4 linked regions of the Notamacropus eugenii genome follow. The protein of the gene in region 2 interacts with the protein of the main gene of each other region in a pairwise test. Links are inferred from orthologs where the notes say so. Each region holds a gene or a part of one and is shown on either strand. Other genes may lie near its edges.

Evidence for each region.
Region 1: the proteins of CARD9 (region 2) and MFAP1 interact in binary tests that used the Homo sapiens proteins (3 or more experiments, as listed by UniProt). The two-hybrid records come from large-scale screens. The link is inferred for Notamacropus eugenii from reciprocal best matches to the Homo sapiens genes CARD9 and MFAP1.
Region 3: the proteins of CARD9 (region 2) and dual specificity protein phosphatase 13B-like interact in binary tests that used the Homo sapiens proteins (3 or more experiments, as listed by UniProt). The two-hybrid records come from large-scale screens. The link is inferred for Notamacropus eugenii from reciprocal best matches to the Homo sapiens genes CARD9 and DUSP13B.
Region 4: the proteins of CARD9 (region 2) and CDCA7L interact in binary tests that used the Homo sapiens proteins (3 or more experiments, as listed by UniProt). The link is inferred for Notamacropus eugenii from reciprocal best matches to the Homo sapiens genes CARD9 and CDCA7L.

What each region holds. Positions count from the first base shown.
Region 1 is NC_092878.1:54,058,569-54,066,987, reverse strand, and holds the start of MFAP1 (microfibrillar-associated protein 1), read right to left. Parts: upstream 3,675-8,419; 5' UTR 3,503-3,674; coding exon 3,424-3,502; intron 3-3,423; coding exon 1-2. Other genes in the region: WDR76 (WD repeat-containing protein 76), read left to right, coding at 8,402-8,419. UniProt on the Homo sapiens protein: Involved in pre-mRNA splicing as a component of the spliceosome.
Region 2 is NC_092872.1:489,795,472-489,803,377, forward strand, and holds the start of CARD9 (caspase recruitment domain-containing protein 9), read left to right. Parts: upstream 1-4,620; 5' UTR 4,621-4,723; exon of another isoform or gene 4,724-4,768; intron 4,769-7,906. UniProt on the Homo sapiens protein: Adapter protein that plays a key role in innate immune response against fungi by forming signaling complexes downstream of C-type lectin receptors.
Region 3 is NC_092872.1:235,271,044-235,278,840, reverse strand, and holds the start of dual specificity protein phosphatase 13B-like, read right to left. Parts: upstream 3,369-7,797; 5' UTR 3,280-3,368; exon of another isoform or gene 3,260-3,279; intron 2,195-3,259; exon of another isoform or gene 2,132-2,194; coding exon of another isoform or gene 2,109-2,131; intron 552-2,108; 5' UTR 533-551; coding exon 318-532; intron 1-317. Other genes in the region: dual specificity protein phosphatase 13B-like, read right to left, coding at 7,353-7,591. UniProt on the Homo sapiens protein: Dual specificity phosphatase that dephosphorylates MAPK8/JNK and MAPK14/p38, but not MAPK1/ERK2, in vitro. Exhibits intrinsic phosphatase activity towards both phospho-seryl/threonyl and -tyrosyl residues, with similar specific activities in vitro.
Region 4 is NC_092874.1:14,239,920-14,247,503, reverse strand, and holds the start of CDCA7L (cell division cycle-associated 7-like protein), read left to right. Parts: upstream 1-4,282; 5' UTR 4,283-4,505; coding exon 4,506-4,529; intron 4,530-7,584. UniProt on the Homo sapiens protein: Plays a role in transcriptional regulation as a repressor that inhibits monoamine oxidase A (MAOA) activity and gene expression by binding to the promoter.

The sequences.
Region 1 (8,419 bases), on a different chromosome or scaffold from region 2:
CCCTGGATGAGGAAGGTAACTCATTAGTTTCCAAAACACTCTTTGCAGACACTCCTGACATCACAATTACAACATGAAAACTTATCTATAACATTCCATTTCTCTCTTAATCTCTAGTAAATTCTATTAAATGAATTTATTTATTCTTGTGTACCAGCACTAAGGGGAGATACATTTAGTTCACAGGATAGGATTTGGCACTAGAAAGGACTTTAGCCCAGGAGTTCTTAACCAAAGACAACTTAAGATAATATGGGCTTACTGATGAGTTTTAGCAGCTTATATGGCTAGTTCTATGCATAAAGAACAGAAGTCTGTCAATTGTGTAAAGGATGTGTAGGATAGCATGGAGGATAGAAGATGTATTAGGAGAATCCTGAACAGCTTAGGCAGGCAGCAAGGAGGGCCTGTACTATACAGTAGTATAGTACAGTAGCAATGGGAAAAAAGGGTAGGAGGAATACAAGAGATGACAGAGATGAAATTAACATGCCTTGGTACCTGAGTGGCTATGAAAGGTAAAAAAAAAAAAAAGAGTCAACAGTAACATCATGGTTTTGAACATGGGCAAATGGTAGAGCTATTGAAATAATGAAGTTGGGTAGAGGAATAGATTTTTGGAAAAATAAGTTTTGATTTCAGATCTGTTAGTCTGAGATGTCTACTACAAAAGTAGAGATTCTGTAGACAAAAAGATGTGTTTAGAACTCAGGGCTATTATCTATGTAGAGGTAATAGTGAATGAGATTATTAGATGAAAGACTGAAGAAAGAACAGAAGAGGGTTTATAATAGATGGTCAGGGAGATGAAGAATTAGTAAAGGAAACAGAGAGGTAGTTTATTTCATCACAACAGAAATGTGACATTTTTGATGGTAAGTGGAAGAAAGAGCTATTATACCGGAGGGGACTGGTTAACAAGTACTGAATGTTGCAGAGTGCTCTTGGAGAATGAGGACCAAAAACTGACATTTGATTTGGTGATTAGGATGGGCGGGGGCCTTTGAAAGCACAGCTGTGATAGAAAAGGTGGTGAGGAAGTGGAAGTATTAGGTGAAAGCAAAAGTTCTGCATTTCTAACTTGCTGCTAGACATTCTGCCAGCCCCACAAAATCAATGTCTAAAACTAATCATTTTTCGTTACCTCAGCTGCACCCCTACCTGACTTCCTATTTTTATTATCATTTTGGTTTAAAACCTTAAAGTAGTCTTTAACTCTTCCCTCTCCTTACATCTAGTCTTGATTCTTCCTTCCTCAATATCTTTTGAATTCATCCCTTCATTTCCATTTCTACAACTTCTATCCTAGTTTAATCCCTTATCTGTGGGATATGGGGATAGAGCTAGAGCAGGTCTGTCCTTCTCCTCCACCATCTTGGCTCAGTCCCAACGTAAGCACTTAACTAGACTGCTGTAATTGTTTAGCTGGCCTCCTTGTTTTTTTGCTTTTGACCCTTCCAATTCATTTGCACACTGATCTAAGATGAATTTTCCAAAATTGATTCAATGTCCTCCAACCTTTAATGGCTCCATGATTGCCTTGTTCTCTCCAAAGTTACAAATGTTCTTAGCTGCCAAATGCAATGGCCTTTTCTTTATCCTCATTCTCCTTGACCTCTCTTCAGCCTCTGACACTGTTGATCACTTTCCCCTCCTTGATGTTCTCTTCGAGGTTTTGGGGGTACTACTCTCTCCTGGTCCTCCTCATATCTGACTGCTCCTTCTCTGTCTCCTTTGTTGACCCTTTTCTACATTTCAGTTGTTGATCTCATCAGCTCCCATAGATTTAATTACCACTTCTGTGCTGATGACTCTCAAAACTACCTACCTACCCCAATTTCTCTGCTGACCTTTAATCTTGGATCTCTAATTGTCTTTCAGACATCTCCAAATGGATGTCCAGTAGACATCTTAAACTCAAATTATGTCCAAAATGGAACTCTATCTTTCCCCCTAAACTCTTAATCCCCTCCGCACTCGGGCCACAAATGTACAGAGCAACCTCATCCTCCCTGGTCTTCAACCTAGCAATCCAGGAGTCATCCTGGACTCCTCACTATCTCTCAACTCCCACACCCAAGCTGGTGCTAAGACCTGTGTCAATTTCACCTTTGCAACTTCTCTTGAATATGGTCCCCTTCTTTTCTCTGACACTGCCACCACTCTGCTGCCCGCATCACGTCACACCTGGATTACTGTAATAGTCTGCTGGTGGGTCTGCCCGTCTCAGATTTTTCCCTATTATAGGTATGACCTCCATTCAGCCACTGGTAAGTCCAATCATGCCACCCATCCCCATATTCAAACTCCAGTGGCTTCTTATTGCCTCCAGAATCAAATGTAAAATGCTCTGTCATTCAAAGCCCATCATAATCGAGCCCCCTCCTACCTCCTTCTTTCCAGTCTTTTTATACTTTCCTCCCCAAAGAGTACTCCTTGATTTAGTGACACTGGTCTCCTAGTTCCACCAACAACACACTTCATCTCTCAGCTCTGGGCATTTTCTCTGATCGTCCCCCACGCCTGGAATGTTCTCCCTCCTCCCCTCTGACTACCGACTTCCCTAGCTTAAGTTCCAACTAAATTCCACCTTCTACAGGAAGCCTTTCCCAACCCCTCTCAATTTCAGTGCCTTTCCTCTGTTAACAATTTCCTATTTATCTGGTATCATAGCTTGTTCAATTTCTTTATTTGCGTTGTCTCCCCGTTACATTGTAACCTCGTTGAAGGCAGACGCTGGCTTTGGTCTTTTTGTAATCCCACCCATTAGTACAGCGTGTGTCACACAGCTGGGGCTTAATAAATGTTTATTCATTTACAGACCACACCACAACGTGTCCATCCTTTATTACTCAATTCATCCTCCCCCTTGCTGCCTTCTCTAATTAGCCACAGCGCCGTTCTTAGGACACTTATTTTGTATTATAAATATTTACGTATGCATTTATGCACGCAACTCATCCTGTCACTCTTTCTCCGCCTCCCTCCCCCCTTACAGTAACACTGTAAGCTTTCTGAGGGCAAGGTTCCTCTACTTTATAAGTGTATACACTCATGATCGGACCCAGACAATCAACGTCCGCCTGCAGAACGAGGGGAGGAGGAGGACGGGGTGTGTGCAAGTCCCTGCGGTGAGGACCGCGGACTCAGAGGGCTGGGGTTAGAAGGAGGTCTGGGAGTAAAGTTGGCTTCATGACCCATAAATGGGGCTCAGGAGAAGACTGATGAAGGGCAGGTCAAAGTGGTAACGATGAGGGACAGGCTGGAGGAAGCTCCGAAGGAAAGCCAGAAATTGGGGGGGCCGGCTCTGGTGTAGCGTGCTTGGGGGGGTAGGAGTCGGGGGTCGCAGGGCACCGAAGCACGGGGAAAAAGGGGGGTCGCTGGCTGTCAGAAAACCCGGCGGGAAGGTTTTGGGCCCCTTACCTTTCTCATTGCGAACGGGGACGGCCCCAGCCGTGGAATGAATGGGGGGCTGTTTCATGAGGGCGCTCGGGACCGACATGATGGCAATAGCGGCGGCGGCTGCCTTTCCAGAACCTGAGACGAAGAACAGTCAACACAGACAACGTACAACGACCTCCCTTCTCTTCCGGATGTAGCAGCGAGTCCGGGAGCCCTGAGGAACCGGAAGTGCACCACAGAGCGCTTGATTGGTGAATTGTGGGATCGTGGATGACTTAGGGGGACGGCCCGGGGAGGAGAGTCGCGCGGGCTGTCAGTGCGCAGGCGTCGAGTCACGTGACCTGCAGATCGGGGCGGTGCCTGCGCCTGCGGGCGGGAAATTCGCTTTTTCCCAAGTGTCCTCGCCCTTTTTCCCCTTGGGTTCGGAGGAAGGGAGTGGAAATCTCAGGTGGGACTAGGGGTGTCAGAAAGGAACACGCGTGTGAGGAGTGGGAGGTGGTTTCTCGTTGGTTCGAGAGGTGGGGTAGGCCCTTGCGCAGTGGAAGGGCGTTGCGTCCTCGGCTTGGCCCACGGCCGCGAGCGTGAGGGACGGCTGGGTTGTGAGCCTCGGCCCTGCCACCGGCACTCCAGATCAGAGGATCCAGGGCGGAAGGGACCCCGAAGGTGGGCTGAGGCTCAGGAGCAGCCTTTAGTAGGGGGTGAGAGCCTCCGTGGAGGGTGCGAGCGAGGGTGGCCCGGGAGCTCCTGGATTTAACTGGTTTGAATGTTTGCAGCTTTTCAAGTTCCTTGATTGACTGTTGTAGCTTTTTACTTTCACTTAATATTTTATCTGATTTTATCCCACCCCTTTACCATGAAAGTCAGGGCCTCTTCCCACCCTTTCACCACAAATCTCTACATTCCCACCAGGGGGTCCCCGGGTGTTGAGAAATAGGTTGGAGGGAGGCAGGGGAGGCCTCTGGGCCCCAAATGCCGTCTTCTCGGTCCAGCTGGAGCCTATTGTGTTCCTTCCGTCCGTTTGCACTGCGGTCCATAAGCCCGTAGTTACTGCGCATCTGTTGTTGGGGAGCGCCGGAAGGGGGTGCAAAGAAGTGAAGGAAAATCTAGCTTTCTGGCATCTAAGAGAAGTAAATAATGCAGATTTGTGAATGGATTGTGTTCTTTTGGAATAAAGGACTCAGCTTAGCTGATGAGAAAGGGTATTCCAGGTACCCTCGAGCTGGAGGTGAGCAGTAGAGTGCCGTGGGGCGGCAGTAGGGGCAGTTTAAAAACTGGTAATTGTTTTAGCCTTGGATTATAACCAGATCTTCTATCTTTAAATGTAAAGGCTGCTGAACACAGAGTTTGATTGCTTTGTTGATACACAATAGCTGACCTTGTGATTCTAGAAGGTTTTTTAATCATGCATAAAACATACGCTTTTAGACCCAGACAAACCAGTAAATAAAACCACCTGTTGTTGGCCTGTTGTTTAGATTAGAGGACTGGGAGAGAAGGATATTTTTCCCGTTTCAGAAATCGTTCTCAGCTGTACTTCAAAATCAGGACTAATCAGAAGGTAGATATGACGTTTAGGGAATGTAATGTGGAATAGATCTGAGACGAATTTTTGCTAGTCTGCCTTCTAGTTTTCCCAGCAATTTTTGGCTAAATAATGTATGTTTTCTGCTTTGTCAGAGTTACTGAATTCTACAGTGTCCTACTGAAGTTTTATCATTTTTTTTACCATTTCAGGCAATATAATGGTTATAAGGAATATGACTGTAGCTGGAAGAGAACTCCCTCATTTTATAAATGAGGAACATGAGGCTTAGAGGGGAAGTGAATTGCCCAAGAGCACACTGCACAAAAAACATTTCCAGGTTTTTTGATTTGTCCATTTTTTATCATTAGGGATTTTGAACATCTTTTCATGTAGTTCTTAACCTGTATTTTTTTTCAAAAATTGTTTATGACCTGTTGACACTAATAAAGTATCAAGGGAAATTTATTGCAGCAGAGTTCAGAGGAATTGAACACGTTGGCCAAAGCGGGCCTCCTTCCTCTTTTGGGGAGGAGTGAGTGTCAGATACATAAGTGAGATTGGCTTTATACTGTTAGCTCAGGACAGATCATCCCATCAAGAGACGGATTGGTCCATTGTCCATTAGGTCATGATCTTCTCTAAATGCCCATTACATAAGCACCCCTGGTGAGATCCCCCCTCCCACACATTCTTTAACATAGGACCCATGATCAGAAAATGGAGGGATAATATTATGCCGAGAGTGTCTGTTTATATACTTGAGGTTCATTAAGCAAACTCAGTGAAGAAAAGCCTTCTCCTGGTAACTCTAGGTCATTTTTCCCTGACTAGTTCCAGCTAACTGTAGATTTGAAACTTTGTAATTTTCTGAAGGCCACTGTCTGTCTCTTGATTGGTTGAGTCCACCTACAGTCAGCTAGGCTTATTATCTGAATTCTCACTGACTTCATCAACTAATAATAACTTCTGTGGAAACTTAACTTTTGCTGTCTCTTACATGACCTGTGGCCATTCCTCATTGGGGAGTGTAAATTAATTTTATAGCTGTCTATCAGTTCTTTATATGTTCTGGAAGATAAATCTTTATCAGATACATTACAAATCTGTTTTCCTCACTCTTTTTATTTTAGACTAGATATTTTTTAGTTTCTTGTGCAAAGTTTTTATTCTTGCATATTCAAACCCACTGAACTTTGTCTACTAATTTCTTCCCCTTTTTTTGTTTTTTAAAAAAAGTTTTTTTTTTCCATTATTGGAACAAATATTTCTTTTCCTTGCAATTTTTAAAATAATTTATAAGAATACTTAGATCACATTTTCTGTTTGCTTAACAGGTTTATCAAAGCTTTTTTCTTCTCATTAGATATTAACACTGTTGACTACCACCTTTTGGATACCACTTTCTTGGTTTTTCCACTTCTTTCACTGTCTCTTTCTCCTCTTTGTGGTATTGCCTATTTTTATATTTTTGGCCCTCTCTCATTTCTATACTATTTCCCTTGGCAATTTGATTAATCCCACCACTTCAGCTTCCACTTACTGAGATAACTCATCTGACTCCTCTTCTATGTCCAGATCTGTATCTCCTTCTGTCTACAGAATACCTCTACCTAATTTTCCATTGACACTTGAAACTCAATATATCTAAACCTGAGCTGTTACCAAAATACAATTGTTTACTATAAACATTTTTTAAAAGCCAATTACTTTTTTACTGTGCCTTACTCAGACCAAACCTGGACTATTACCTGTGGTTTTGGGGCATCAAAACACATTATACTGCACAAAACTGTACATAATTTCAGGGAGGACATTGATAAGCTGATCCAGTAGAGGTAGAACAACATGGTGAAGGGCCTCGATTTCATGTGTCCACTTGAAAGTTTGGTTAAAAGACCCAAACAGGCTAGGTGATATAGAAATTCATATTGTTTATTTCCTTAGCTAGCAGATACATGCATACACAGAGCCAAAACATGATTTCTGACTGATAAAAGAATGACCAGCCTTAAACAGGTTTTAGAGCAATCTCAACTCAGCATGTCTATGTCTCTCGAATTTATGATCTCCATATATGTTTAACCATAGTATGAGAAAAGGAATTTTCTTAATTGAATAGGTTGTAAATACAATAAGATAAGAGAGTTGACAAAGTGTCGATTGAAATTACAACCCAGGATATCTGTTTTCTTTACCATTAACATGATATAACACAGTATATGTTCATAAAATATTAAGATAAGAGAAAGTCCCTTTATTCTAGGTAGTGTCTGCTTAAGGCCCGCTGTCCTTGGTAGGCATTAATAGAAGAATGCTCAGGTCAGCTCTTGTTGACACGGAGGCGTTCTCAGCGTTTACTTAGATCTGTTGCTTCTTCTGGTTGATTAGTTGAGGCTCTGGCCCTTGAGGTTCCAATGATATTACATTATTATCACGTTATATGAAGGCCTGTTGAAGGATGTTTCACCTGGAGAGGTAAAAGGACAGCCACACTTTGAGTTCTTGTGACTTTTTTGAGTGGGTTGTTACAGCCATGTTCATAATTCTCAATCATTTCTAAAAGAAAACAGTCTTATTCTTCACTTTGGAGGGCAGAAATAGGAGTGATGAGCAGATGTTGCAGAGGCCAATTTAGCTTGGTGTTTAGTTAGAGCTACCCCAAAGTGTAACGGCTGCCTTGGACCATTGAGTTTCCTCCAAGGGCAGACTTTCAGGCAGAGGCCAACTGGCCATTTGTCGGTTGTGTTGAAGAAGGAATCATTTCTCAGGTGCCATTTGGACCAGGAGGACACTGAGGTCCCTTTCAACTCTGAGAATCTGCAGTTCTGCACTGACAGGCTCATCTTTATATGCTGTTTTAAGGTTTTCAAAGCGTGACAACCCAGTGACAAAGGGGAGGGCGCTTCCATTTGGATGAGACGTAAACCAAGGTCCTGTAAGATTGCCTAAGACACAAAGGGACGAAGTGCACAAGCCGAGCTCTTAATGTCGCTTTGCGGGACCAGACCCGCACACCCTCTCACTGCCCAGGCAGGGTTTGCCGTGGCGGAGGGCGCCCTAGCCCCCTCCGCATTGGCTCTGTCCAGTGGCAGGTGTGTAGAGCCCAGGACCGGGATCCGGAAGATTGCTCTGTCTGAGGTCGGATCTGAGCTCAGCCCCGTTAGCCCTGAGAACCTGGGCGAGTCACTTAACCTTCTTGGTCTTGGAGAAGGAAATGGCCCAGCACTCGGGTAACTTAGCCAAGTGATCCCACATGGCATGACGAAGGGACTGAAGGCGATGTGACCACTACCACCGGTTCTCTCCAGGCAGCGCCTGGTTTAGCTTCCGCCTCCCGGTTCCGCCTCCCGGTCCCGCCCACCGGCCGGGCCGGGCCTCCTCCGCCCGAGCACCGGCCTTCTCTGTCCCCGCCCTGGCGGGCTGCCTTCTCTTGGCGGGCGCTCTTGGCGGGAAGGCAGCTGGAGCTGGGAGAGAATGGCAGGGTCCGGGGAG
Region 2 (7,906 bases):
ATTGACACCCCTGGACTAGATCTCCAAAGTATCTTCCAGTGTTGAGTTCTGTAACCCTATTATCTGGTCTGGGCACTTGTCTTCATATACATAAATGACTAGCCATTCTGAACTTTCGAGTTTTTTGTTTCTGTTAGGGGAAAAGGGGAAGCATGTTGATTTTTTTATTATTGTCAAAAAGTGGGATGCTCTAATAGGCTAGAAATTTTTGAGAAAGTAGCCAAAGGTCTCTGGATGGAAATCAAGGCATCGTTTGAAGAGAAGAAGATGCTCAAATGCCTTCCTCTCAGTTCAGAGGAAGATGCCTCCATTTCTTTCTCCCCTCCAGACCGTACAGGCTGACCCCATTCCTGTTTTCCTGGAATCTGGTGGTAGCTGGGTTTTGGTACAGTGTGATTCTGTACTACAGAGTGACAGCATTCAGGGTGCTTTAAGCCACTCTAGGTGCTGACTCACATTGCTGGAACATGACACCCCTGGAAGACTGATGATTTTTCTAAGCTAGATCATTCTCCCATTTTCTTTTTCTTGCCCTTTTGGTAAATCATTATGCTTAGAGGGGTTGCTTTTATTTGTACACCTGACCAAAACTCGTATCTTTTAGTTTTCCCTCTCTTGATAAAAATAATATCTGGTAATTTGTTTTTGTGTGGTCCTGTGATTTAATCCTCATAGGGAAATTCCCTTCACTGATTCAGACCAATTCATGGGGGGACCTTTTAAAGAGTTAGCTGGGGCACTGAGAAAATGTACTCATGGTTACACAGCTAATAACAGAGGCAAGATTGGAGCTTGGGTCTTCCTGGTTTTGTCGATTCTGATAAACTACCTTATAATTGTTTTTGTTTTAAGTTTCACCTTCCTGTGAGGTTAGTGGGGTAGGTATTTTGTTATTCTTGGTCTTCTTTCACCTTGAACCGTCCCCTTCCAATCTTCAAGCCTGCCTTTCATTTGCAAGCGGCTGGGATGTGGGGAAACCCAGGAAGCTACAGACAATTCACAACTAAAGTTAACTCCTCTATATACATATACAGGACATTCCCATTGTTGACCTGAAAACTTGGTTAAAGAAAAGGCAACAGGCTAAATGCATACATTTTATGATTTAATTAATTAATCAGTTCCCCATAAAGAAAACAGTTACATAGCGCTATGGAGTCAGAGGTGACTGACTACCTAGTACAGAAATCATCTGTCTTAAGTACATTTTGTCGTGAGAAAGAAACTCTCCTAATTAAGCAAATCATAAATTGAGTAAGACGGGACAATTAACAAAGCAATGTCAGTCAGGCCTTGGGATTCCAGGCTGGGTAAGCATATGTCTCAGTGATAAGAAAAGAAATCCCACCACTAGTAAGTGGCAGGCTTCCTGCCCTAAACAGATAACTGACACAGGAAGGGGCAAACAATGTTCAATAGAAACCCAGGATGCCTATATTTTCTTTACCATTAATATGCCATAACATAGTATGTGTCTATAGATAATAAGATATAAAGGGAAGTCCCATTATTTAAGATAGTATCTTAGGTTAAAGGTCTCCCAAGGAATGCAGTCAGCTTTGGCTGGCTTTTGCTGACATAGGAAGAGGCATTCTCTGAGTTTGCTTCAGAGAGAACAAAGAGATTATTCCAAAATTTTATATTAAATATTATCACCATGTATCTCATTAATACCCGATGATGGCCCACCAGCAAAAATTCCAAGGGCTAAAGATTCCAAGGACAATTCTTCCAAGAAGCTAGTTCAAAGAAACAGACTGGGTAGCAGTTAGGTGAGAGGTAAAATTATCTTAGGGTGGGACCAGGTGAAAAAGTCTTATATCATGACATAGCTTCCACTTCTCTCTCCCGGAACACCATATCTACTTTCTTTCATGTTAGCAGGAAAATGTCTAGGAGGAGGAGTTTAGTTTAACTGGATTAACTAGGCATTAATAATGGGCCTTTGGCTCCCACCCTTCCTGTTTGAGATATGCACTGTCCAGGCAGATACCCAGCAGTTGATAGACATTCATGATGCATATTTGTCCCTCCCAAATTCCATCATTCACCATTGCTGCATAAAGAAACACCATATTTGGAGATTTTTGCCTCACATTTTTCTGTTCTCCCCCCCATTCCCCCGAATTCCTAGAAAATCAAGTATTTAGTGAGTCCCTACTATGCACCAGATAACTATGTTAGGTACTAGGGAATACAAGAATGAAATACCCACTCTCAAGGAACTTATAATGGGGGAGAAAACAAATAACTAAAAATACAGCATAATTACTGGTTCTTCCAAAAATATACCTTGCATAAGGTGAATAAATGCAAATCTATAGAAAGTAGTTAAATTCAAGTTAGTTTAGCTGGGGAGGGAATTGAGGGGATTAGGAAAGGCTTCCAAATCCTAGGACAATGGAGTTGTAAATTATGTTGACTCACCTAGGAGCAGAGAGGTCACATATGCTTTTAAAAGTAGTCTGCCAAGGCAGGCAACATGTTGCAGTGGGAAGGGTGAAGCTGGACTTTTGCCCTAGTATAGAAAATGTGGAGACTAAGAAAGTTAGCAGATTGAGAGAAAATTAACTTCTGTTGCATAGGAGATGGGATCTCAAAAGCTAGCCAAGCGATGGTGAAGTAGTTTGGGTTACAGGGACAGAAGACTGAAGTTTCTTTGTTCTATCCCTGTCTCCTGTCCCTTAAAAAAAAAAAAATTCCCTCCATCTTTACCCTGTCCTCTCTCCAAGGCTTCACCTTTCTTACAAGGGGACCAGACCAACTTCTACCTCCTCCCTCCCCAATCAAGGTTGAGTAAAGAGCCTGGTTTGTTTCCTTTAGGTTATGTGAGAAGGAACCTCCCCAACACTTAATCTAGTGGAATACAAAGAGCATGGACCTTCAGATCTCATAGGCTGAACTGGATGACCTCTGGGGTCCCTTGCAGCTTTGAAATTCTTGTCTTCTAAGCCACTGAAGCAACAAATTCACCCTCCCACTCAACTGAGTTTCTGTTATTTCTGATATTTCTACATCATTACAAAGTTAATTTTAGGGCACATTCCATATCCCTTGCCCCAGACAGTGTTTGCCGCATGAACTAAAATTCCCAGATATGGCTCTGGGGAAGAATACAAATTTTGGAATCAAAAGACATGTGTTTGAATCCTGACTTGGTTCTGAATCCTGATACCACTACCACTGCTACTACCTACTGCTTAATTCCTGTGTGACCTTGGGCAAGTCACTTTAAACCTGTTTGGACCTCAGTTTCCTCATTCAGCAAAAGAGGACTAGGTGACTTCTAGGCACCTTCTAAATCTATAGTCCTAGGATTCTAACTTCCCTGCCTGGTGGAACAGGGAAGATATGGCTGCTGGCAGCTTAGGGGCAAAGTCCAGAGGAGGAATTCTGTCTTTGGGGAAAGAATGTATGTCAGCTGTCAGTTTGGTGGCCACCTGTGGCTCAGATATCAAGAGGTGGTAAGGGCATAACCGCAGTCACCCATGTTCTGGTAAAATCAGCCTGCGGGCCATCTTTCGCACCTAATAGGCTGCTAACCTCAGAGTCTGCCTTTGCTTATGGTGTTGGCAGGTTTATTGATAATGCAAAAACGCACCACCTTCTGGTTAAACTGGTGCTAACAAGGCCATGGCCAGGGGTTTCATTGTTGTATGGCTTTGTTCTCTTTTTCCCTGGCCACTCCTTAACCAGAGCTGTTAACTAGAAATTCTTTTACCTGGGGCAAAACTAATTCAGGGAGTTGTGTGGGGTGGGGGAGGAATGCCAAATGTAGTGTCAGTAAACAGGATGGTCTGACCAGGGGAACTGGGGGTGACAGTGACAGGGGAACTGGGGGTGACAGTGACAGCTCAGGCAACAGTTTGCCCGTCAGAGCAGTTGCATTGGGAGAGGAGAAGACCTGTTCACCAAGAAATACTATCTATGCCCACTTTGGGATGGGCCCCAGACAAGGAATATTCTGGTGACAGAACCTGGTAAGGAAGCAGGATTGCACAAGCTAGCAGAGGACTTTGAGATGTGAAGTAGTGGGGTAAAGGTCCTGAAGGAGGAGGGAGAAGGTGAGGATCCCCTCCCAATCACAAAATGTAGGTGCTGAAGTAAAGCCCTGGTTATCTTACCCTAGTTAGAGTTACTGTTTACAAAAGGGACAGGTGCACCTTTCCTTCCTCTAAAGAAACATTTTAATGCCTAAATCCTGCAGACAGTAGCACAGATGGCTGGTTATTCTTATTAATACATGCTCTAAGTACAAGGCAGGACACTCACCTTGCATGGAGGGGTGGAGGGAAGTGCCAAGCCAGGATACAGTGTTTCTCTGTGGCTCTCCATCCCCCTGAACCATGGTAAACACCTGAGGAGCCCAGAGGTGCTGACAATGCAAAATGGTTCCCCAAAGGGTGCTGAGATACCACATACCTCAAGTTCTCCTCAAAAATAGATTACTTCTCCTTTTCCAAACTCCGCCCTCTGCCTCTCTCCCTCCCAGAACTCTGATGGACCAGTCAGAAGAAGAAATACCAGCAAAAAATGTCTTGACTGGAACCCCATCAGGAAGTACCTCATAGCAGAGGTTTTCCCAGCTGACTCCACCTTCCCTCAGATTATTGCGTAGCCAGTAGGGTTTCCTATCAAGGTCGGAGGACCAAGGAAATGGGCTGACTAGCACATTGAAGGCTAAATTATAGCCAAGCTGGAAGCTCCAAGAACAAACTGAGAGGTAAGAAGGCTTTGTTATCCTAAGGGGGAGTATGGGGAAGTGTGTAAGTGAGGGAAGTGGGGGAGGGGAGGAAGTGGAGGAGGGATAGTTGGCCAGAAGGAATTAATTTAAAGCAAGGGAAGGTCATTAACCTCTCGCTGAGTAGTCTAATAGGACAGATGCACAATTAGGGACAGGCAGTTTGACACAGTGGAAAGAGTACTGTGTCTGGAGCCAGAGGAATGGAGTTCAAATCCTATTTCTGAAACTTTCTACCTGTGTGACCTTGGCCATGTCACTTAACCTCCTTGGTCCTCCGTTTCCTCATATGTAATATGAGGTTGGACTAGATGACTTCTGAGGTCCCTTCTGGCTCTAAGGCTCTCTCTAGGATCCTATGATAGGGGGTTTCACGTACCCCGGGAGCCAGTCAAGCCAGTCGCTACCAGGCAGGACCAGAATCTTCTGTGTTTATTTCCTCTCACACCTGATTAGAATGCTGGATTTCAGATGTTTCATATCTACTTGGTACCTTGAATCAAATTAAATGTCACAAAGTTGGGTGTGGTGCACTTGGATTTTGGTCCAACAAGAAGACAAAAAGAGTTAGAGTGTTCCCTGTGCCAGTTTCCCGTTGAGTGTAAGAATCAGCTCTCATTTTGACGGAAGTCCCATATGAAAAGGAAGGATAGGAGAAAGTTGAGAAACTAAGATGAAAGGTCATTTGCAAATTCAGTCAGCCAAGGCAGCTTGGAAAGGATTTCAAGGGTAACCTGGATAATTTGAGTCAAAAATTTGCTCTGATCAAAACCAGCAGAGGTTAGGCACTGTGCTAAGCACTGGGGATACAAAAAGAGGCAAAAAGCAGTCCCTGCTCCGAGGGAGCTTACAAGCTAATGAAAGTCTCTGTCTCCCTTGTTTTGTCCTTCCAATCGCTTGTGTGCCTGCTGAGGGGAGGGATAGCCTTTGCAAAGTTTCTCCTCCTGCCTCACTCAGCTGGTAAGGATCTTCAGCTTTTCTGGTCAGTGGAGAGGAATTTACAGAGCTTGTAAGAGTAACAGACATAGTATTCTAAAAACTAGGATGAATTACGAAAACAATCTCACTCCTAGAAAACTGCTCATGAAACTCACCTCCATCCTCTCAGGTAGAGGGGCGAGGGACTGTGGGTGAGGGAAGTGATAATGCCACTAGATGGGACACTTTGTTAGCTCTGCTGAAATGTTGGGGTTATTGGTTGGGGATGTGGAGGGAGGACAGATTAAAGGAAAATAATTGTGGTATAAAAACAAAAGGTAACAATAAAACTTTAAAAAAAATTAGTGTACACAAAACTGCCCACAACGGCTGCAAAGTGTGCCACTATATGATCTTTTCAAACCCCTGTTTCCAGGGGGTTTGGAGTAAGTCATTAAGTTAGTATTTTCACTGAGTTTATAAAGGTAAAGTTCAGAACAGGAAAATATCCTGAGAACTATAGATTATTAGAGTCTGTAGTTAGACAGATTAAATAGAGTCTTGAGATAATCCAGCCAACCACTTTATTTTATAGATGAGGAAACCACGCCTCTGTAAGTTTACATGTCTTGGCCATAGCTCTTCAGTGGCAGAACCAGGACATGAGCCCAGGTCTTATGGAGGCCATGTGTAGTTTCCCTTCTAATGCACTATGGTATCTCTTTAAGAGACCAGTAAGGTGGATATGCCATGTGCTTCTAAAGTCTTTTTTTTTTTTTTTAGAGAAACTAGGCTAGCTCTATAAGAAAGCAGACTAGGGGAAATGAGTGTCTGAATAGCTATATTTAATACTAATACAGCACTCTTGCTTTCTGCTGAAGGCCCAGGCTTAATGACCTGGCTTCTCAGGTGACAGGGATCATAAAAAGGAATATTTCATCACTCCATAGCCAGGCAACGAGAAAGGAAAAATGCAATGGAAAAGAATTAAAGGAAATGAGTCTGTTGTAAATCAGAGAGCAGAGATAGCTGTGTCACTGCCTCACTCATAAGGAAGTAGCCTTGTGCAGCTAATTTCCTTTATTAGCTGTAAATAGTGGGAAGGTTACTTTCAAAATGTGGAAGGCTCCCCAGTGCCCACAGGGACAATTGAGGGACAGAAATCAAGTGGGCCAAGTATTTATTAATGCGCCCATCACATGCCCAATGCTTAAAATTTTGTTGGGAACACATTTAAAGTAAATGGAATGGTGCAGAACAGATTGTGTGGCAGATAATTCTTGCCAAGGTCAATGAGGCTGGAGAAGGCTTCTTTGCTTAGACCTCACACAGTACTTCCTCAATACTAAATCATGGCAGATTGTGTTTTCTAATCATGTGTTTGTGTCATCCCCCAACTGGAGATGTCCCTACTGGACTGTGAACTCCATAGGCTCAGGGATGTATCTCCCCCAACACCTAACAAAGTGTCCCAGATACACACAAAGCTGTAGCAGGTAAGACTAATGGTCACTGGTATAGGAAAGGATGTTTTCTCCCCATAGGGAGACATCCATCTTCCCCTTGGGAGGGAAGGTTGTCTCTTGACTGCCAGTGATTTCCTAAAGAGCCTTCTAAGGACTACCCCAGGAAAGAAACCCATCTTGTTTGGATGTGGCTACCTTGAAAGAAGAAATAAATCCACCCGTCCAAATCCCAAACTCCTCCCCAAGAGACCTGTTGCTTTCATGTTCTTCTTCCAGTTCATTCCCTCTCCCCCTACCAAGCTGGTACCATTATACCCTGCTGAGGCATATAACTCCCAAACCACCTGGCCTGGGGGACCAGCATCAGTGGTAGAACAAGTAGTAATGATGTCTTGTGTTGTCCAATCAATTAATTAATAAACATTTATTATGCACTATTGTGTGCCAGGCACTGTGCTAGGCACAGAGGAAACAAAAGAAGCAAGAGACAGTCCCTGCTCTCAAGGAGCTTATGATCCAATGGGAGTCTCTATCTTCCTTGCATTGTCCCCAATCTTTCCAATAAAGTTTTCCCTAGATATTGGAATTCCCAGGTATAGTTTATGCCTATTCTTTTTTTTAATTGAATTGCATGAGTTGGAATGTAAGTTGACTAATTGGTAGTCTAGACTGAGCAAAGGGAAATTGGAGTGGGCATTCCAGGCAGCAAGCCCTTCTGACATTCGGAAGGCATCTGTCTTTGTATCTTCTACAGCCACAGGTGCATCTAGGATAACCACCC
Region 3 (7,797 bases), about 250 Mb from region 2:
CCTCTAAGGGGAGGGGATTATCTGTGTGAACCAGCCTGGAGAATTCACCAAAATGGCTCTTTCCAAAACTGGGGCCCTCTATCAGGAGCAGAGAGATGCACTGAGGGCTTCAGTTTTAAGGTAGAAAGGAGATGGACTCTTGGGGAGCCATGTCCCCCACTTTGCCCCCTTCTTTCCTTTGCTACCAGGGAGAGGTACCTAGGGGCTGAGCCTTTCAACGATTCCTCAGGAAAAAGTCATCCCTGAGAAGCCCATCACTGCTTCCTCAGAGGTGTGTCTCCCTCCCATCATTGTTAAGTTGGGGAAGGTGGGCTTACGCGTCTCCCAGGTAGAGGTTAGGCCAGACCTCATTGATGTGACTCATCGAGGAGGCCCTTCGAATCCACAGCAGGCGCTGCAGGTAGGCCAGGGTGGGTGTCTGGTAGGGGACAAGGTTCTGCGTGCTAACTCGGCTTGCCCCATGGATCTTGGGCCTCCGCAGGTCCTGTCTCTGCAGTGAGTCCATCCTGGAAAACAGGGGAGGGCATCCCATTGTTGTCCTTGTGCAGGCCCTGGGGGAGGGAGGAGGGAAGTGGAAGGGAAGGGGGGAGGAGGAATAAGTCCCAGAATCCAGGAAAAGCTGTCTCTCCCATCACCACGAGGAAAGATACCTGGTTTTTTGTTTTGTTTGTGTTTTTATAGAGGGAGTGAGAGACATCTGTCTCTCTTAGCAGTGAAGAGATGAGAGAAGAGAGACTTTTATATAATCAACCATGGAAGGGGAGTTGGGAAATGGCTTTGGGAAAAATGAATGGGTGTTGGGAGTTTAGTTAATTGAATGGGGCTCTGAGTATAAAAGGGGGTTGGACTGGGTGATCTTTAAAATTCTCTCCCATTATGTAATTCCATACCAACTTTCTTTCCTTCACCTCTGCCTTTCCTGGGTGGCAAATAGAGATCATTTTGCTAGGATCAGGAAGACAGAGGCAAGGCTATGGGTCTTGCCCAATGCCTCCCCAGCGTTTTTTGCTTGGGCTTAGCCATGAGACAGAGGAGATAAGGGACCCTTGCAGGGCTTATGTCATCCCTTGCCCCTCAGGGCTCTCAGTTTGTTTCAAGGGAAGCTAGATTTCCATTCTTTCTTCTCATAGACTAGCACCTCCTTGCCCATTAACACCCAGTAGAGGCCACCCAGGATCTCAGTACTGTGGCCCATTGGCTACAGAATTTAGCCACATACTTGTCTGGGGCCTAAACAGGTCAAGCTAACCTTTTCTAGACCTTTTCCAGAGTCCTACTCATGGATAGCAGAGTGCAGTGGTGACAAGGGACAATATCATTCTTGGATTGCCCAGGACTTGGCACATAGTAGGTACTGAATTAAATTGAACAGGTGATTTTTCCCCTAATGTACTCCTCAGCAAAACCCACTTCCCTTTCCTCAGCAAAACAGGACCAGAAATCTGGAAGTAAGGAGGGACCTCAGTCCCTCCCATCCTAATCAACTTCCTTGTCCCAACTCCCTGAGAGTCAGATTGGAATGGACTAGCTTGGAGTTTGAATTGTTTTTCCTTCATTTTAATGGATGGACATGATCTATAAGCATCCTGGGGAAAAGGGTTAAGTATGTGACCCTTCCCTCTTGAAAATTCTGTGATTCTATGACTTTTTTAATTTATTATTGTTATTATTACTACTATGGAATATATACTGTCTTCCATTAACTGAACTTCAAAGTATTGTTTTATTAAAAGAAAAAAGAAAAAAAAAGGTCTACCAGTCAAGGAAAGCTATAAGCTTCCTTTGTAACTTCTATTACACCAGGGTTCTTGTTCTGATTGTTAGGCTGCTCCTGATTTAGGAGATAAAGGGAAATGAGTTCAAGGAACAATTTGGAAATTAAGGGGGTATATAATTTGTTATTTGTAGGAATACGTACTAGTCTTTTCCCAAGTAGCAGCCTTGTCTGCTGCCTTGGAGAGGGGTGATACCTTAAGGCTGTCATTCTAAACCTTTATGACAACTAGCTGATGAGTTGGACAAGACTCAGAGGATAGGATACAAGCTGAGTGAAAGGTGTCTAAAAGAAAATGATGTGACTTCACAATTTTAACAAGAACCAATTTTACCTGGGCCAGGTCCACCACCTCATGTTGGAAATAAGCCAGGCTGGAAGAGTTCAGTAAACATGGAAGGCTTGCTGTCTCCTGGGCTTCTTTTCATAGTACATAGTGGATACAGTACTTGCATGTAAGTCCCTAGACCCAAGGGGCACCTGGCCCTGGGTGTAGGGGGTAGGCAAGGGAATCCAAATCCTTCTCACAATTTTCCCAGGTAAGCTTGGGGACCACACTCACATGAGGCTGAAGCAGCTAGGAACTGAAGTGACTTCTACCTGGAGCAGGGACAGTAATGTCCTATTCTATTCTCTGTCTGCCACCTGGGCCGTACCCAAGAGTGTGGCTGATGTAACCACAGGACTCTACAGGTTCCTCTCCCAGTATCAGGTGTTCTTTGCTGACTCTGCCCCTGGGACTCCTGGTGAAAATAGTCATAAACTTCCCATCCTTCAATTCCCCATTGAGACCCTGACCTCTGATAGCAGTGAACCTTCCCATCTGATAGAGGAAAGGTTAGACATAGCCTTAACTTTCCTTCTCTCCTTCTTTAAATTCCTGAACTGTATCCAGAACCATTATTCTGGGGTGACAGAGTATGTTTCCAGGGCCCTAGTGGGCACAGAAATGGGGACACTGGCTGTATCTTGTCCAGGAAAGTGGGTTATCTGGATAGCTAGCTATACAAAGAAATCCTAAGGAAGTTGGAGCTTATAAAGCTATGGGGTCATATATATCAGGGTCTGGTGTCCCTCTGGCTTTGACCTCCCATCCTGCATACTGTGGCTAGTCCATGTGGGATGGAGGTTGGAGGTGGTGCATTCTTTCTCAGAGCACCCCACCCCCCCCATTCAGGGTAATCACATATGGGACAACATAAGAGGAAATCTTCCACTTGATGGGATAAAGGCCTATAATCTCAGCTTAAAACCTGGCAGCAGGGGTAAAGAGAAACCTATAGAACCTGAATGACCTGTCCAAACTCCTACAGCCAGCTGATGGTAGAAATGGTTGTTGACCCAGAGAGTTGAACTCCCAGGAAACACTGACTGTGGGGTTCTGCAGATTTCACAGGTTAAAATCGGAACTAAGCTCAAGCCCACGGAAGTACTGCCTGACCCTGGAAGAGACCTCCAACCCTTCCCCAATAATGGGCATCTTACCTATATATGACCCCACCTACCTAGAGCATGGTCTAGGGCTTGAGTCTGGAGGCTCTGGGGGCCAGGGCAGTGCTGGACTCAACAGTAGGGATCAGAACAGGGGGTGGAGGTTCCATCTGAGAACACAGATGCTGTGAAGCGTCTAGAATTCCAGCTGGTTGACATGGAAGTTTCTGGGGGGGGAGGGGGGAGCAGGAGGGAGGAGGGAGGCCCTGAGCTATCCCTGCCCAGAAGAGGAGCCCGTCTTGAGCTACAGCTTCATCAAGCTGTCTCAAGGCATCGATGTACTCATCAGCTAGTCCAGGACAGATTGCAGAGTAAGCGGCCTCATATGATGTCATTTAAAGGGGCCCCGGAGAAGGGGTGTTGGCAGGAAAGAAGGGAGGTTACAGTGGGTGCCAATAACAAACCACCAACAACAGGAGGTAACCAGGGACTGGCCCCGCCAATTGGCCAGGCTTGGTCATCCCAGGGCTCTTGCAGCCTTGATTCTGATCAGGTTGAGTCTGGGGGCTGCTTTCAGGAAGCTCTTGCCCCCTGAATCCAGACACTCTGTCTCCCTGCTATAATTCTGATGGAGAGACCTGGTCCCACCCAACTCTCCCTTTGCCAAGCCTTTCTCTGGCCTCCCAGAATCAAACATAGGGTAAGACTACCCTCCCGTGGCCAACCCCATGCTCTGCAGCCCAACTGCATGGAAACCCCAATATCTCAGACCCAAGAAGACCTTTAAACAATACAACAACCCTCCTTCCCCTGGGACACTCACTTCAACCAACAGCTTAGCACCTTTCGCTGCAGAAAGGATTTTTGAGCAGAGAAATCCTGGACAGCTTCAGAGGCCCTCCCCATTTCTCACCAGAGAAATCATTTTAACCTAGCCCAGGGAAACAGAGGATTCAAATTGGTCTCTAATTTTTGTGGCCTGTAAGACCTTGGGCAAGTCACTTTCTCAGTTCAGCATCTGTAAAATGGCTACTGAAGTCCTTTCTTGTTCAAGATCCCTAATTCTGGCCTGTAAGGTTCCTTTTAATTACAAATCAAGGATCCTAGGGATCCTTTCCAGGGACTACCCTGATCAGGGTGAGAAGGGATGAGGATAACAGGGGAATCCTTATTCTTCCAAGGGATATTTCCCCACCCACCCACCCCCTCTACCCTGTTGGCACTGAGGCTCTGGATTTCCAGGGGCAAACAAATACAGAGGCAGATCTCTACACTGGTTGCTGTTTGCCCTGGGCTGCTTTTGGCCTGCTCCTAGCCTCTGCCTTGTCTTAAGACCAGATCCAAGTCATTTCTGTTGGGATTTTTGGTCTGGGGGAGCTGAAGGGTCAGGATTTGTGCTTATAGAAAATAATCCAATCTAGCCTAGGGGAGGATAAAATTGTAAAGAGCTTCAAAAGAGAAAATTTATTCTGAGATTCTTAACCTGAAGTCAGTGATTTTTTTTTAATAGTTTGATAAGTATTGAATCTTATATATTTTAATCCTATGCATAAGTATTATAATCCTATGTATTTTATTTTCTGCATTTAAAAACATTCTGAGGAGTTTACAGGCTTCATTAGATCCTTCCAAAGCAGTCCAGGAAACACGCACATACAAAGGGTTAAGAACCCCTGATATAAAAAAGTGAAATCATGAGGGCTCTTACAACCTTCTCTCTCACAGGTAGAAAGAAATGCTGCCTTCCATCCAGGGTCAGCCACTCCTGGGCAGCTCCCTTTCTCTTACCCTCAATCCCATCCCTTGTCTCCATCTTTCATCTGAGAAGCTCCCTCCCTTCCCCCACGGATCCCTAAAAATCTGAGAACAGAGGAACCCATGGGTCATCCATTATTAACTTAAGACATTGAGACTCAAGGGAGGTAATTGACTGGCCCAGGATCACTCGCTTAAGAAGAAACAATTCCACTCCAGATCTTTCCTATCTCAAGTCCCACACTTAGAAGACTATAGATTCAGAGGTGGAAGGGACCTTAGTGGTCTAGTCTTCTCTCTTGATTTTGGGTGAGGGAGGAGGATGAGGACTGAGCTGGTGATTTCTTTGGTAAAGGTTTTTCTCAGGTGAGAAAACTCAATAAGTCAGTCTCAGGGAGTCACCTGGTGCAGGAAGAGTTTAAGTGACTTATCCGGGGTCACGTGGCCAAGGACTTAAACCCAAGTTGTCCTGACTTCAAGATCAGTTCTCTAGCTGATATGCTATGAATGCCTCTCCCTATTTTACAGATGAAGAAACTGAGGCCTAGAAGAATTTAAATAATTTAAAGATAGTGACAGACTTAGGATTTGAACCCACTACTTCAAACTACAGACATAGTGTGCTTTCCCTTATACCATACTGGCTCCCTAATCACTATACCACACTATCAGGTTACCTCTCAGGTGTAATTAATTGTTCCTTTGCCATCCTCATATAATTACACAGCTCAGGATTGTCTTGTCTGTGCTGAGAAGAGAAGGGTGATGGGTCACACTGTTAACTATCAGTTTTCCTCTGTCTCTGACTCCTATCTATTTGTCTGTGTGGGTCAGGTGGCTCTAACTCTCCCCACACAGCCAGCTACCACAACCCACGTGTGTCCCTGCCACCCCCAAGCACATGCTACCAAGGGGCTGTGCCCTTCGAGGCATGCCTAGAATGGGGTGAGGAGGGGGAGGCACTCACCTGTGGAGGGGGCCTAGCCTGGTTCCAGCCGATGGCTATAGTCTCCCAATAGGCAGGTTCCCAGCTGCCTGTCTCTGCTCTGTTGAGGCTGCTTCTATTTTGGATTTGTGTTTAATTATAAACCATGATCTGCTTCCCCCCCTTCCGCCCTCCTCTTCTTACTACCCACCCTACCCGGGGCAATCAGTCCCGTTCATTCCCAGGAGGGGAAGTTGCAGAGATGATGGCATGGCAAGGGTGTGAGACTGAGCCCTGTCTGGCAGTCCTGGCACCTGCCACCTGCCACCACCCCCTCTGACCCATAATCAGAACTCTGCACACTGAGGATACGGCAAGTCTAGCCACAGCCTCAGCTATATATATGGTATGTGTCAATGATTGTTGGGAGCTGGGGGTGGGAGGAATGCAGGAGAAGGCTGTAAGCAGCTAATCTCTGGCCAAGGGGATTTAAAAATGTGTGGGTATTCTTTTCAAGTCTTTATTAGTATGTAGAAATAGAGGGTAGAAAACAAAATGGAACAAGGCTCATGATTATGGTCTTGTACCACTTAGGACTGGAGGTGTGATGGAGAAAGGAAACTGGGCTCACCAACAGACCACCTGTTCTTGGCCACCTGGATGTCCAGTCCCTTCCTGGTCTGTTACACCTTCTCTCCTTTCCCCTGCCCCCTCTACCCTTGGTTGTACCACAAAGAAAGATGAGCAGAGAGCAAAGCTAAGAAAAGTGTGGAAAGAGAGAAGCTTGAATGCTATTCAAATGAGATAATATTTGTAAAGCATGGTGCCTAGCACATAGTAGGTGCTATGTCAATGCTTATTATGCCCTCTATCTTCACTGAGTTGACTGTGTTCACCCTCAGGATGCCACATCACAGGTGAAAATAGCAAGGAGCCTGGGAGGATTTTGCCAGGAAATGAAGTCCAGTTCCTTGGCCTATGCTTTGCAAAAGCTAGATGTCCTTTCTGTAAGAATCTGACCCATAATTCTGTCCAGGTGAAGGATGGGCCACTGTTTGCAGCCTAGAGTTCAGAGAAGTGGCTTTTGGGAAAGGTTATACAGAGGAATGACTATCGTATATTTCCTGGACCCTGAACAGAAATTCAGTTTGTGACCAGAACCTGCTCAGAGGTCTTCACATCTCCAACCCATTAGAACCTTTGAAAAATCTCTCAAAATATCTCAAAGGGAACCTTGGCAAAGTTCTCCTATCTCACCTCACAGTGTCTCTCCACCATTTTGATCCCTGCCAACTTCAGTCTTCACAGGTACACATGTGCACAGTTCTAAATGAAAAAAAGTCCTAGCTCTCAGATCTGCACCCTTCCAATACATTCTTAAGGGAAGATAACCCCATTGGTAGACCCTTTGAACCTAGTGAAATGTCAGTAAACCTTTGATATTTTTTAAAAACAGTCATTTTATTTTCAGGGCAGAGGGGTGGGTGGCATCAGTTTCTCTCTGCTCCCTTTTTGCTGTTCCTGGCTAAGTTGGAGGTCCAGGTCACGCAGCTGGGAAAGAAACCCCCGATTGGGGCAGATGTTTCGATGGACACTTACTGTCCTCAGGGCTTCTACCAGGGTCAGCTGTTTCCTGAGCATCAGGAAGGCAAGGACCAGAGTAGCAGAGCGGCTGAGCCCCATGGCACAGTGAACAAGCACCTTCCCTGGAAAGAATCAGAGCATCAGAGATTTAGAAATGGAGATTTAGAAATTAGAGGCCATCAAGTACAATTCTCTTCTTTTACAAATGAGGAACTGAGGCCAACAGATATTAAGTGACTTGCCCAGGGTCACACAACTAGTAGGTATCTAAAGCTGGATTTGAACTCAGGTTTTCTTGATACCAAATTCAATAAACCAAGCCATGAAG
Region 4 (7,584 bases), on a different chromosome or scaffold from region 2:
TCAGAGCAGAAAAGATGTATTTGAAAGATGCTGCAAAGATAAAATAGACAGACCTTGGTTCCATATTGGATCTGAGGATGAGAGATCGTGGGGAGTCCAGGATGACTCCCAGGTTGGGAGCCTGGCAGATTGAGAGGATAGTGGTACCTTCTACAGTAATAGGGAACATAGGAGGGCAGGGTAAGGTTTAGGGGGAAAGATCATGAGTTCTTTGGATCATTAGATCATTAGTTTAAGATGCCTATTGGACATCCAGTTTGAGAAGTCTGAAAGGCAGGTGGAGATGGGAGACTGGAGATCAGCAGAAAGACTGACCCCAATCTGATGAAAAGGATCCATCCAGTCTTTACCTGAAGTCCTCCGATAAGGGGGAATTCATTCCTTCTCAAAGCAGCTTAATCTACTTTGGAATACCTCAGTGTAGGGTCTATCTGGTTTCCCTCTTTAGAACCTCCTCTCATCTCTTTTCACTCTGTTTCTTGGGACTAAACCAAATATGTCAAGACCTTCCTCAATGTTCAATACTTAGAGACAACTTGTGTCTTTGTGCATATGGCAGGTGGACATATTGAATGTCTTTTACAATCCCTTCTGAGTCTAAGGAACTGCAAAGTAAATGGTGCTGGCTTTGGAGTCAAAAAGAACTAGGTCTATGTCCTGTTCCGAAGTTTGCCAGCTGGTACCCTTAGGCTCATCACTTAGGTTGTATGTAGTAAGCACTTAATAAATGCTTATTGACAGCCTCAATTCCTTCATCTTTAAGGCTTACTTTACAAACACTTTATCTGATTTGATCCTCACGACAGCTCTGGGTGGTAGGTGCTATTAATAGCCTCATTTAAGCGATGAGCAAACTAAGGCAGATAGCAGGTAAATGTCTTTCCCAGCTAATAAGTCTCTGAGGTTGGATTTGAATTCAGGTCTTCCTGATTCCAGGTCCTGCACTCTGTGCACTATACCCACCTATTTGCCTATCCTTATCTCTTCCTCCTCCTCCATCATTATTTCTTCCTCCTCCATCTTCATCTTCATCATCATCATCATCATCTCTTTCTCCTCTTCTTCTCCCCCACCCCAACATCTTATTTTCTTATCTTTTCCAGGGGCATTCAGGTCAAAACTGTTCTGAGCCAAGCCATTCTCTGGCTCTTATTCTTTGATGTTTAATGTTTGAAGAATGACTGCACAGATTGATCACTTCTGTTTGCAGTTGAATAAACGTATGGTCAGCTCATTCTCTGTAGGTTTATTCAAAGAGTCCTCTGTTCATCTCCAGAAGCAGATAGGAGGGCAGGAATGACAGATATCTCTTCTTATTCCCATGAGATGGGTATTTTCTTCAGCTGGACCTGTCTTTGAGTACAAGCCGTGGGAGGACCTATAGGATGGCCATCCCCTAAGCAACAGCCCAGTAAAATTTGGAAAGGGAGGGATAGCTTGGGAGGGATGGGTCTTCTGGCTACAGCCAGGCTCAGGACAGCGCAGAGTGGAGGGAGCCATGGTCGTAGTGTCAGAGGACCAGGGTTTGATTCCTGGCAGTGTCACTTAGTACTTTGGTCACCCTAGGCAAGTCCCTTGGCCTCAACTGAGATAGCATGTATAATGCTTTGAAGGTCATAAAATATTATGTAAATGCTAGACATTACCATCATCATCATCAATAATATTAATAAAAGAGAGAATCAGACTCAAGGTCACTACTACTCCATTCCAGCTCTTGACTGATGATCCTAAAAATCTGTATAAAATCAGTGATAACAATAAGGTAAAGCCTGGGGATTTATACTCTCAAAAATGCATTTCACTGCTATTTTAAAATTTTATTTTAAGCAAACTTAAAGGTTTCGTTCTTTTTCAAATACTAAAATCTCAGAAAGGGAAGGCACCTCAATGAGCCGTCAGTCCCATCCCTACCTGACCAGCAATACCCTCGACAACATTGCCGACAAGCGGCCGACTGGCCACATTTTGAGGGGGAAAAATCTATACCTGCACAAAAACATCTTTCATGTCTCTGGTTACAAAATTTTTAAATCTTCATAAAAAGCTGGCTCCATCCACCCACCCACCCCCTCCTCCTGCCACTGAGGTTAGTTCGATCCCGATGCTTCATTTTTTTTGCCCATGGAACACAGACTGAGTCATACTTTCTTCTCTGGTCCTTTCCCATTGGCTGTGATGTTTGGATCACTTAAAAATCAAACATTAAAAAGGGCAGAATGGAACTTTTAATAACACCAAATAAAATGGTCTCATTAAATGTTTCAGTTAAAATGAGGTAAATTCTTTTCCAAAGCCAGCTAAGAGGACTTAACCAAGTGATCAAGCAGGGGGCCCTGGGGCAGTATCCTCACATAGGTTTTAAAAAGCAACATTTAGACTTCCAGCGATGGTCAGTAATTAACAACTTGAAACTTGCAAAGCAAGTCCAGGACAGTTCTACAAAGTTGCTTCAAAACAACTGCCTTTGGCAGGAGCCCTCAATCTTCCCTCCTTAAAAGATAACATGTGTGCCTTGGGTAACCCAACTGGAGTTTCTGACTTTTTTGTTTTAAAATAAAAAACACATCAATTCAGCCAATTATAAAATTGACCAGCCCCCATTTCTATTTGAAATCAATCATTTCACCTCTTGACTCAGTACCAGAAAGTCTCTCCGAGTCCTCGTTGGGCTGTCTATTCACTCTCTTTAACGTTGCCTCTTTGGAGCTAGTGTTTACTTTATGTGAACCTTGTTCTTCTGGGTCAGCCCCCACCCCACTTCGCACAATTTTATAATCGCTGTGTCCCTTACGCTTGTTCATCTTACCCAAAGGATTCTGTTACACGATGTAGCCCAGTTTAACTGCTTGTTTACAATTGTCTACAAAGCTGCTGTGACAATCTTTGTATCTATAGCCCTTCTGGGGTCGGTTGTATTTAAAAGTATACTCCCAGGGAATGTGACTAAAAATTAATGACAATATTAGCTAGCATTCTATATAGCACTTTATGATTTACAAAGAATTTGACAAATATCCCCACAACTACACTTGGCCAGGGTCACACAGCTAGTAAGTGTCCAAGGTCACATTTGAACTCAGGAATTAATGAATCAAAGGGCATGTCTTTTGGTTCACTTTTACTGTGTATTTCCAGTTCTGAGCCTCAGTTGCTTTACTCGCATTCGCTACCCACTAGAAGTAAGGAAAATGCTTGAGAAACCTTTCAGCATTTCCGAAAGGGCGCTCGAGAGAAAGCTGAATTCATCTCCTAAGCCCCTCTCCTTTTACACTCAGGGAAGTTAGGGCCCATCAGGGTCAGACGAAGGGGCGGTCATTTCCACTGTCTCTTGACTGCAGATCCAGTGGTGCTCTAGCCATCGTCCCAAGAATGACAGCCGACGACCTCCCTTACTGGGACTCAAATGCATTGAGAATTGTTTTTCTTTTGGACTCGGGCACAGTGAGTAAAAAAGTGGCGTCTTGTCACTAAACTCTTCATTCTGAAAACCCAAAGCTTTCCTCCCCATCCACCACTGGAGAGAAAATGAAATTCGGCGCTGGGTCCTCCCACTCGCTCCTTCAACAATGAGTCCCATTCAAGCCAAGGGCTGGCATCCGCTGTGCCCGCGGCGCCTGGGTTCCCTCTGAAGGATACAGAGGTGCTTGTGGCAACTTTGTAACTCGGGAAAGAGCGGAGCACGAACATTTCCACGTGATGCATTAGGAGCTTTGCTGAGCGCCATGCTTTGCAAAAGTGGAGGCTACAAGCAAGGACAGCCAGCCTCCCACGAGCGTGGCTCTCCCAAAAGCTAGAGCCAAGCCCTTGCCCGGGCTGGGGCTGCGGCGGCCCTGGCCAGGCTTGCACAGCCGTGGGCACATGGGCGTGCACTGGCAGCCAGCTCCCAACGCGCGCCCCTTCCTAAGCAAAGCCCACCCCAAGTGCAGAGCGGGTCACAAAGCCCCCCAGAAACACCAGCCCGGGGCGGGTGGGGCTCCGGGGTCCGCTGCAGTGCTCGTCCAGGGGACGAGCGGCCCCGGCTCCTTCCGTGCCCGAGCCCCGGCCCAGGTGGCTGCGATCCCGGGCCAGGAGGGCCCGTCCCCCTAGCACTCTCCCGCGCAGAGAGCCGATCGGACCGCTCCACTGGCGCCCCACACTACGGGGGGGACGCCGCCACCTCGGCCCGGCCAGCCGTCGCCCACGCGCGGCCGCCGCCCCTCCCTCGCGCCCCCGGCCGGGACGAGCGTGGAAGGCCACGGCTGCGAGGCCGGGCGCCACGCGCGGGGCTCGCGGCGCGCCCGGAGCGGCCCGAGGCGGGCGGCCTGGCGGCCGTCTCCCCCCCACGGCCGGGAGCCGAGTGCGATCGCTCAGGGGCCCGCGCGTAGCCCGCCCGCCGCTCGGCGTCTGCATTCGGACGTGGGCCGAGAGTGCGGGCTGGCCCCGATACTTTGTAGCGGCTGCGCCCGGGCCGGCCGTTCGCGAACGTCCGCGGCGCGCCCAGCCCGGCCCGGCTAGGAGCGAGCATGGAGCCGGCGGCGGCTGCAGAGGTGAGGCTCGGGGCTGCACGCATGGCCCCTCCGGGCCTTCCCCGGGCGCGCCGGGAGCGCTGCTGGCCACGATGGGTCTGTCTCGTGTTGCACTTGGGCCCGCGTGCGCGCGTGTGCCCCGTGCCCGTGGGTAGGGGCTTGGGGACGCTTCCCGAGCGAGAGCCCCTGGATTCAGGGCTGAAAGGAAGGGATTTCCGGGGACCCTCCCCGTGCACCCCCCGGTTGGGTAAGATGCCCAGCAGACGTTGGGTTGGTTTCTCAGATGCCCCCTTGCCCCGACCCGCCCAGTGAAACACGCTGTTCTGGTCAGTAAGAAATCTGAGTGGAAAAGGAAGGTGAGGGAGCGCGCTGGCCCAGACGGGGTCCCCCAGGACCCCGCGATTGTTTGTAAACTAAAAAGAACGGGGTCAGGGGTGGGAAGGAAGGGGGGGCAGGGCTTGGTGGGGGACCCCAGGGACGCTCGGACCGGGGACCGGGGGCGGGGGAACTTGGAAGGTGGGGCACGGAACTGAGATGCCCCGCTTGTGCAGTGCCCAGCCAGTGTTGATTTAGCGCGCTCCCATTTGGCCATTGGCTGAAGCTGCTCCCCTGGCCAGACACCAAGCCCCTGCTTGGAAAAAGCTTCCAACGGAATAGTTGCCGCTCCTCACATTATTTAATCAAACCGCCGGAAAGTTTGTATTTTGTCTGTGTTGGCAAGCCTATCTTGTGAGATGTATTTGGGGTTTTAGAAACTTTTTAAATGAGGGGAAGAAATAAAAACAAGAAAAATACACATTATTTGTCTGGGCTGGATGGAGGAAGCCAGAATTTCTAGTAGAGTGCTCCTTGTGTGAAACTTGGCTGTGTTAGTGATGCTTCTGGCCTGGGCTCCCTTAGGACCATCCAAGGGGTCATCGAGTCACCAGGATCCTGAAGGCTTAGCAGGGGAAGGCACTGGAGGGGACCTGTTGGGACCCTGAACCCCAGAGACAGCCGGCTCTTGGGAGCTGGAAGGCTTTGGGGCCAGTGGACCTGGCTTCCAATCTTGTCTCCCGGCTGTTCTCAGCCCCCAAGTGGGGAAGTCCATAGAATCCTAGATTAGAACTAAAAAGAGACTTTAGACACCATCTCCCCCAGCCCCCTCACTTCCCAAAGGAGGATTGGGAAGTGGAGAAGTGACTGACTTGGTATCAAGTCTGAGAGCTCTTCCTGATAGGAACGTAAGGGTGCCAGGAGCATTTTGTTAATCAGTTGGATGTGTCAGGACCGAGTCAACTCTGAGGGCTCACAGAGGTAAACGTAGTGCCTGTCCTCAGGGAGCTCACCTTCTGCGTAAAACTAGACTAAAACAAGCGCAGCGCAAGCATTTAATCAGTTTCTTTTCAATTCATGAACTTATAATTTTCTCAGACAAAACCTGGGAGCCACATTATCTGAAGATAGTATATTGTACTGGGAAGAAGGGGGCAGCTGAATTGGAGATTGGAATGTATTATGAGAAAACCTGTATCCCTCCCTTCCCTCTACCACCTCTTCCTTCTCCCTCCCTCCCCTCTTTCCCTTCCTCCTTTTCTGTCTCCTCCCTTTTTCCCCCTTCCCTCTCTTCTTCCTCCTCCCTCTTCCCCCTTTTCCCCCCACCCTCTCTCCTCTTTCCCCTTTCCCCCATCCCCTCTGTCCTTTCTCTCTCAAGTATGTTGAATAAACTTTTTAACTGTGCAGAGTTAAACCCGCAGATCCCAGCCAACACATTCTTTACAAGTTGGAACAAATTGCCATATATAAGATCAGGTGTTTTAAAGAACGGATGAGCTGTACAGATTAAGGTGTTTTTTCTAGTGGAAATGTGCCCTGCTCATCCTCTCAGTGAAAGCCATTTATTTGCAATTCCAGTGAGTGGAGAAAGACTGGGTGGACTGGGACAAAGGTGGTAGCCCTTAGTGACTGTGCCCTCCCCCACTCTGGACCTCAGTTTTCTTCTCTGTAAAGTTAATGGCTGCCAGAGTCCCTTCCAGCTGTGATTCTGATAGCTTTCCTACATGGACCTGCCCTTCCAACTCTCAAATTCGAGGATTGTGTTTAAATAAAACTAGAATAAGATTTGTGGAAGGAAAAGTAGGTTACCATAGCCTGACCAGCACTGAGCTCCAGTAAGCCTTGGCTTTCGGTTGAGTGGAACATAAGTTCCTGAGGGCAGGCTGTGATTTCTCTCTTTGTGCCCAGTGTGTAGTACAGCCATCCCAAAAGCTGGTGAATTGAGCTCATTCAAAAGACTGAAGATGTGGTTTCCTAGAAAAGCAAATAGCTGGGGAAAGAAAAACCTTAAAGCTGCTCCTGGAGGTTGGGAAGAGAAAGGAGAAAAGAGATTGGGAGCTGGGAATCACGGACTTCCTTGGCTCCTTCTGCCTTGGAATTCCACCAGTTAATGAAGGATTGGATTAGAAATCGACAGAATGGAAGAATGCTCTAAGGTCTCAGGATTGTGGCTGCTGGTGTGATGGTGACCTTGGGCAAGTCACTTAACTCTGTTTGCTGTAATCATGGGATGAGGAAATACCAAACCACCCCTGTATCTTTGCCAAGAAAACCCTGTGGACAATATGGTCCCACAGGGTCCCAGAGTCAGACACAGCTGACCCACAACCTAACTGCTTTGTCCTTGTGCCACTTGGCTGTTATTCTGCACACCTAACCTCAGAAGTTACCTGAGGAATTCAGATTTGTATGGAATTCTGGGCCTCTCTTCCTCCCAGCCTTGGAGGTCTCTGCTTTTGACCTTGGGGGTTGTGGCTTTTTCTGCACAAAAGCATGGAAGAGGGTAAGGAATCCTGTGGGTACCGCAGGTGACGCACGTTTCAATTAGCCTGGGAACTACCACTGGCTCTCCATGAATGCTGTGGGTTTTCATTGATTTAGCTGCAAATCTGGGTGGAGGAAGGAGCTACTGGGTTTAGACCCCTAGCACCTCCATTTAGGAATACCTGCATGCACTTAAGTCACTTACATTCTTTGTGCCTCAGTTGCCACATCTGTAAAATGGCTTCAGACTAGACAGCCTCTAAAGGCCTTTCTGGTC